Linked DNA regions of Sus scrofa. The protein of the gene in region 1 binds, or shares a complex with, the protein of each later gene. Links are inferred from orthologs where the notes say so. Each region holds a gene or a part of one and is shown in the gene's direction. Other genes may lie near its edges.

What was found.
Region 2: EXOSC8 (region 1) and EXOSC1 share a complex: the UniProt entries of both Homo sapiens proteins name them as parts of the RNA exosome core complex. The link is inferred for Sus scrofa from reciprocal best matches to the Homo sapiens genes EXOSC8 and EXOSC1.

The regions. Positions count from the first base shown.
Region 1 is NC_010453.5:12,820,010-12,823,289, forward strand, and holds part of EXOSC8 (exosome complex component RRP43), read left to right. Parts: intron 1-456; coding exon 457-530; intron 531-1,705; coding exon 1,706-1,751; intron 1,752-2,410; coding exon 2,411-2,516; intron 2,517-2,598; coding exon 2,599-2,644; intron 2,645-3,280. UniProt on the Homo sapiens protein: Non-catalytic component of the RNA exosome complex which has 3'->5' exoribonuclease activity and participates in a multitude of cellular RNA processing and degradation events.
Region 2 is NC_010456.5:108,839,931-108,844,147, reverse strand, and holds the start of EXOSC1 (exosome complex component CSL4), read left to right. Parts: upstream 1-1,320; 5' UTR 1,321-1,330; coding exon 1,331-1,418; intron 1,419-1,541; coding exon 1,542-1,657; intron 1,658-2,669; coding exon 2,670-2,744; intron 2,745-4,217. UniProt on the Homo sapiens protein: Non-catalytic component of the RNA exosome complex which has 3'->5' exoribonuclease activity and participates in a multitude of cellular RNA processing and degradation events.

The DNA.
Region 1 (3,280 bases):
TATTTATTGAAAATATGCCTGTATAAGTGGACTGGTGCAGTTCTAATCCATGCTGTTTAAGGGTCAACTATAATTTTAAAAAGACTCAAGGAATACAATTTTGTAAACAAATGAGATATGTAGCAAGATAAAACCATACATAGAAAATGAAAAGGAGTTCCCATCGTGGTGCAGCGGAAACAAATCCAACTAGGAACCATGAGATTTTGGGTTCAATCCCTGGCCTCGCTCAGTGGGTTAAGGATCCGGCATTGCCATGAGCTGCGGTGTAGGTCGAAGACGCAGCTTGGATCTGGTGTTGCTGTGGTTGTGATGTAGGCCAGCGGCTACAGCTCCGATTGGATCCCTAGCCTGGTAACCTCCATAGGCTGTGGGTGCAGCCCTAAAGGACAAAAGACCAAAAAAAAAAAAAAAAAAAAAGTGCTTTTCATTTTGTTTAAATACTTATCTTTTCAGGTTCAATTGGTACTGCAGATGGTTCTTCTTTAGTGAAGCTGGGAAATACTACAGTAATTTGTGGAATTAAAGCAGTAAGTTTATTGTGTATATTACTATAAAGATTTGAGTTACCAAATTAGTTCATACACTTATTAGATTGTAATATACACCTATAGTTCTGGTGATGAGGTGATCAGATGTCAGTTTTTTAGTATTTGTTTTCATTTCGCAAGCTTAATGACTCAATTATAATTTATGAACATTTGCAAATGTGCTGAAATGAAATTTTTTAAAAACCCTCACCACTTTTAATTTTTTAAAAATTTGGTTGTAATTTGAGAAATTAAGAGGGATTTTGGGTGACATCTTTTTATGCAGGGATGGCATTTAATCTGTGCAAACATGTAGAAAATTGTTTAAAGGAAAAGCTTGAGGGAGTAATAGCCACCATTAACTGAGTACTTGCTATATCCTGGGCACCTTATATTAGGTGCTTTAAAAAATTAGCCAGTTTAAACCTCAGAATAATTATTTGAAATATTTCTCTCTTCATCTCCTATCTTACATGAGGTTCAAAAAACTTGTCTAGGAACATAAGGCTCATAAATTGAATTTAGACATAACTAACTCCAAAGTCTCTGCTTTTTTGACTATCCTGAACTTTGTAATTTGCTTAATCTAAGTTCAGGTTCTTTTTCAGTAAAGGTTGCAGTGATATGTAACAAGATTTGAGCACTTACTCTTTTTTAGGTTTTATGTCAGGGATTTAATATTATTTCATTTGACCCTTATTAACATCTTCTGAAAGTAGGCCCTATTAACTTCCCACTTTACCAATGAGGAAGTTGAATGGTAAGAGGTTAAATAACTTCCTCAAAGTCTCTGAGCTACAAAGTGTGATTCTGACATTTGCTTTTGATTCCTCCCATCAGTTTCTAAATCTGGCTGTGTCAGTATCCCTAGGTTTAAATTCAGTCCTGGCTGCTGAATAAGTGGAAGAGAGGGTGGAGCAGAAATCCAATTAACGAGCCCCAAGTAATTTTGATGAGTGGCACGACAGTCAGCTGTGCTCTACTGCCTTCTGGCCTTGCAGAACTTGTAAGGAGTGGTGCCAGTGGCCCTAGAGCCCTTGTCACGCCCTCCCGAGCACAGGAGATGCTCAGGATGTAGTTAACTAGCTAAGACGGAAGAGCCTTCCGTAACTGACTGCTGCCTTCTCAATTTTTTAGCAGCTTCTTTCATAGGAAACATTTGTTTACTTCTACAGGAATTTGGAGCGCCACCAACAGATGCTCCTGATAAAGGATATATTGGTGAGTTAAATGGTTTTGTAATTTTAATACAAATATTTTAACATAGTTAATACTGTTGTTATAGTTAAATCTTAGTAGGTGAATTGAAGAGTATTCATAAGCTTTAGACATTCCTGAAAAGTTTTTTGTATATGTTAGAAGATAGCATAATAGCAAGATAATTTTATAAGTATCTTTTTTTGATCAGTTTTTGTATAGATGTCATCAACCAAGAAAATAAAATCTTAGGCAAAGGCTATAATTACAAACTTTTGTTTCCATAAAGTTTTATTCATACCACCATGTGATTTTTTTTTTTTCTTGGACCATCTTTTCATTATGATGAGAACCAACATTTTAAAAATGCGTAACACTTGGTATGACTGGGGAGGGGGGCTATCTTCTGTTACACTTTGGGGCATTTTGAAAGACATATAAGAACTTTAGTGAAAGGCCTTTAGAAAAAGGCCCTAAATATACTTTTTTTGATATTGCTTGTGTGGAAAACAGTTGGAAAATACAAATTTTGTCTAAGCCCAGGATTCTTATTACAAAGATGAAAAGATATATGTGATGTTTTACAGTGCTTTCCATGGCTAGTTGCTTTTGCAGTGGATTGATAATACCTTTATCACTAAATCAGAGATGAAATCTGGTTCATAGCTGCAGTATTTTTTCAGTTCCTAATGTGGATCTATCACCTCTGTGTTCCTGGAGATTTCGGTCTGGCCCTCCGGGAGAAGAGGCCCAAGTGGCCAGCCAGTTCATTGCAGATGTCATTGAAAAGTAAGATCATCCTGATAAAATCTATCATTCATTTTAGAGCGTTGGAACTTTTATTTACCATGCTCTTTGTCTTTAAATCAAGTTCACAGATAATTCAGAAAGAGGACTTATGCATTTCTCCAGGAAAGGTAAGAGGAATAAAGAGGCTATGACCTTTTATTAATTCTGGTGGGTTTTGTGGGAAAAATTAAAAAAAAAAACCCAAAAAACAGTAGCCTTAAATACTGATGTCTTTACTAGATTCCATTCTAGATGGAATTCACTAAAAAAAGGTAAAAAAATTAAACAACCAATTTTGATGACTTCAGTACCTGGCTAGGATATGCCTCTTAGGCTGATGTAATCTCCCCTTTTACAGAAATAAGTCATTTTAAAATTTCTTCTAGCAGATTATTACTGTCTGATCAGCTAACATGTGTTTGAGGTGAATCCACAGTATAAATTCCAAAAGTCTGTTTGGAGACTTTGAACTAAGTTGACTAGTACCTAGAGGCTTTTCCTATTTGATTATACTGATGTATTAAGCATTAAGATCTAAAAGTTTCATATATTGAGGTTTCTATGGTAAAGTACATTTTAAATTTTCAGAAGTAATTCCTTCATCATTGTAGTTCCCTTGAGTGAAATGGAGATGTTCACCTGTCAGCTTTTGGTAGTAAAAAGTCAGCTTTTATCCAACCTGTACAGTTTTTTTTTAAACTTTAAAGTTTTAAGTTTTTTGAGTCTTGAAGGTTATCTTATCTAATGAAGGTGTGGTTTGTAAG
Region 2 (4,217 bases), on another chromosome or scaffold:
AGATGCAAAGCTACAGATCAGATTATTGTAAAGGAAGACTGAGGCCAAGCCCCTGCCCCTTATTTTAGGGATTTGTGCACAGGGCACGCAGGGGAGGGTGTACGCCAGGGAAGAGAATACTTAGTCCATGGGGCTATAACTTAACATATGAAGTTTTCATCTCATGAAACTGAGGTAAAGCAGAACTCAAAAAAACAAAACTGTGTGCTGGGGGTCAGGGGGGCGGGAGTGAACAGGACAGGAAATAGAGCCACCCACTACTGATCCCCAGCCCTAGCTCTGAGCATTCTGATCCCTGAGTAGTAGCCACAGGCCATCAGAAGAGACATCTGACATCTGCCACAGATCAGAGGAGATGGAAAGCCACTACACTCAAAGGCTCTAAGTCACCATCTCTCTTCCAAAGGGAAACCGGATATGCGGGACATGTGGGGTGAGAAGGGATTCGAAAGCCACCAGAAGGCAAAGGAAACCGAGAAAAATGTCGACAAATCTCATATGGACAAAGATGCCGTTCTCAGGGTATTTGCAGTCTCAAGTACTGGACGTCAATCATCAGAGAGAGCAGCTTTTATTCATGCGCAGACTTCCCTGCCAGACTAACACGCTCCACTTGACAAGATCCGACCGCAAGATGCAAGCTGCAGTTACAAAAACCAGGAAAAGGTTTTACTTCACATAAAGGCTGGCCTGGTCAAAGGGTGATGGACTGGAAGTAAAATAACTTGGATACCGATTTGGTCTCTACCTTGAACTATCTTAGAGACACTGCACAAGTCAAATCCTATCTCTGGAGCTGAGCTTCCAAATCTGTGAAATGGGTGAGTTGGGTTGGCTGACCTCCTTCAACTCTGCACCGTAAGACTGTCGGAAGGTGCGCTCCGCCCGGTTTGAAGGCAAGGCCGTACAGAGCAGGAACTCGGGCTCACAAGGCCGGAATAGGGCCCGACCCTAGCAAAAGGGACAGGACTGAGCAGCAAAGGCCGTGGCTTCGCTCTTACCTGCCTCCCCAATCAGTCAAATCGAATCCTGCAGCCTCCGCTGCAGCTCACTGCTACCCCCTCCAGCTCCGCGCCACAGCCCGGCCCGGCTCAACCCAACCAACCATGTCCAGCAGCCCACAGCTCCAGCCTGCAGACCCGGACCCGCCGCCTGCCCATTCTCTTCCACAGGCGCAAGCGCAAGCGCAGGAGTTCCGGAACTCCGCCCCCAAGCCCGTCCCGGGGCAACCTGGGAAATGGAGTTTACCCCTCCCCTCAAGAGTGAGTCTGGCGAGCACGTGACAGAAGTCACCAATTGGCGCGTTTCTTACTGCGGGAGTGCACACCTGATGTTGGCCAATGAGCAGTCGACCTCATTTTCCTTCGGACTTCGGACAGAGGCAGTCATGGCACCACCTGTGAGGTATTGCATCCCCGGTAAGTCGGCGGTTCCCAGAGGGAATCCTGGGCAGAGGCAAAGGCAGGAAGGCCGGACGACCAACAGCTTCTGCGGTCCTGTGGCTGATGCAGCGGTTTTTTGGGTTTTTTTTTTTTGCGCAGGCGAACGTCTGTGTAATTTGGAGGAGGGGAGCCCCGGCAGCGGCACCTACACCCGGCACGGCTACATCTTTTCGTCGCTTGCTGGCTGCCTGACGAAGAGCAGCGAGAACGGCGCGGTAAAGGGGCTGGTTTCCTCTCTCCTCGGTTTCTGCCTTTCTCATGCTGCTTTTGATGTCACGATCCTTAGGCAAGGGCCCTGCGGGCGCGATTCGGGATCCTCGTTCAGTAGAAGGAGTTGGTCTCAGAGTCCCCAGTGAGCCACAGAGTCTTTGTACACACGCCGTCTGTCTGGAACGCGCTACTCTCTTCCTTATCCTGTGTTTGTTTATTTTGACGGGGCCGCACCTGGGGCATGTGGAGATTCCTGGGCCAGGGATGGAATCCCCGCCACAGCAGTGACCCCAGCCACTGCAGTGACAAAGTGAGATCCTTAATCCACTCACCCACAAGAAAACTCCTCCCTTAGCCTATTTAATTCCTACCTAACTTTCAGATAGCCCCACTGGTACCACTTTCTCATATAAGCCCTCCTAAACACCACTAATAAAAAGAATTTTGGAAGTTCTCTTGTGGTTCAGTGGCTTAGGATGCTGCTGTGGCTTGGGTGGGTCTGATCTCTGGAATTAACTCATTCTGCAGGAACTCATCTGAAATGATTGGATTATGCCTTCGAGCAGCATTCTGTGGCCCCTTGGCTCTCCTATGTTCTAAAATTTCTTTTTTTAAGTCTTTTTTTATTAAAGTATAGTCAACTGTCAGTATTCGTCAATTTTTGCTGTGCTGCAGTGACCTAGTCATACATACATATACATTTTTTTTCTCATATTTTCTTCTATCATGTTCTATCACAAGTGATTGTGTATAGTTCCCTGTGCTATACAGCAGGACCTCATTGCTTATCCATTCTAAATGTAATAGTTTGCATCTACTAACCCCCAGCTACCAGTCCATCCCACTCCCTCCCTGTCCTAAAATTTCTAAGGCTTTCTGCTCTGGGCTACAAAAGAATCTAGTCCTCCTGTCCTTGTGTCAACTGTGGCCCGAGGCATATGCATATTACTGTCAAGCCACAAATACCTTTACTGAAGGCTTAGGCAGGATACTCATGTTTTATTGTTCTCGCTGTAGCTTCCTGTCATATCTGTGATGAGAGAAACGGATTCCCAATTATTGCCAGATGTGGGAGCTATTGTGACCTGTAAGGTAAGTTCATCCTAAACTCCCTGCTTAAGGTACCATCCAATGCTGAAATCATGATCATTGTAAAATAGCACTGTCCAGTATGGTAACCAGTAGCCATATGTGGCCGTTTAAATAAATTAAAATCTGTCATCACAGAAGGTTTTCCCGGCTTGTGCTAGTCTAGAGATTTCTAGGATAATGATCAATGCGGTCCAGTTCAAGCTTGCATGGTTCTTTTACAGAGCTGGTTCCCTGAGTATGTAGATTTACTTTTGACTGGGAAACAGAGGCACCAAAGGGTGATAAGGAAGCTTTTTTTTTTTTCATGTTCTTTTCTATTATGATTTAGCACAAAATATTAAATATAGTTTCCTGTGCTGTACAGTAGGACCTTCTTGTTTATTCCTTCTGTATATTATAGTTGGCATCTGCTAATCCCAAACTCCCAATCCCTCTCTCCCTCAGTGCCCCCTCACCCTTGGCAACCACAGATCTGTTCTTTATGTCTGTGAGTCTGTTTCTGTTTCATAAATAAGTTCATTTGTGTCATATTTTAGATATCGTAAATAAGTAATATCATGTATTTGTCTTTCTGTTTTTGACTTATTTAGTACGATCATCAAGATCCATCCACATTGCTGTAAATGGATTATTTCATTCTTTTTTGTGGCTGAGTAGTATTCCATTGTATATATGTATCACATCTTCTTTATCTAGTTATCTGTCAGTGGACATTTAGGTTGATTCCATGTCTTGGCTATTGTAAATAACGGCGTAATAAACATTGGGGTCCATGTATCTTTGCAAATTGTAGTTTTCCCAGGTATATGCCCAGGAGTGGGATTGCTGGATTGTGTGGCAATTCTTTTTTTAGTTTTTTGAGGAACCTCCATTCTGTTTTCCATAGTGGTTGCACCAACTTACTTTCCCACCAACAGTATAGGAGGGTTACCTTTTCTCCACACACCCTCCAACATTTGTTATTTGTAGACTTTTTAATGATGGAGGAGGCCTATATTTGAGCATCTGAAGCAAAACTTTTTCGGCAGAGAAACAAAAGATTTTATAAAGTCTTTGAGGGAAAGTACAAATTAATGCTGCACTTATCAGTAGCTATAATACATCAGTATTCCCTACCCATCCCCACTCTCTGCCAGTTAAATTAACTCATAGCTCTTTGTTTCTCTCTATAAATCACTCTAACAGAAATCTATTTTCAAAATCTGTCATGTTGAAAACTGCAGAGGCAGTGATCTAAATAGAATGCAGCAACTGAAACGGAGACTTAAATTCTGTTCACACTACAGGGCTCTTAGTAAGTTTGTTAAAAGTCTAGCTAGATTTGCTATATTTCCTTGTGTAGACTTGTATGTTTTTCTAAATCTGTACCGTATTATTTCATTTGATTCCCACAGTAACTGTTAGGTGTAGAGTGGCTCTTGTTTCATTTTTTGTAATCACTTATCCAGGGATAAATAAATAGCAGTTAATTTG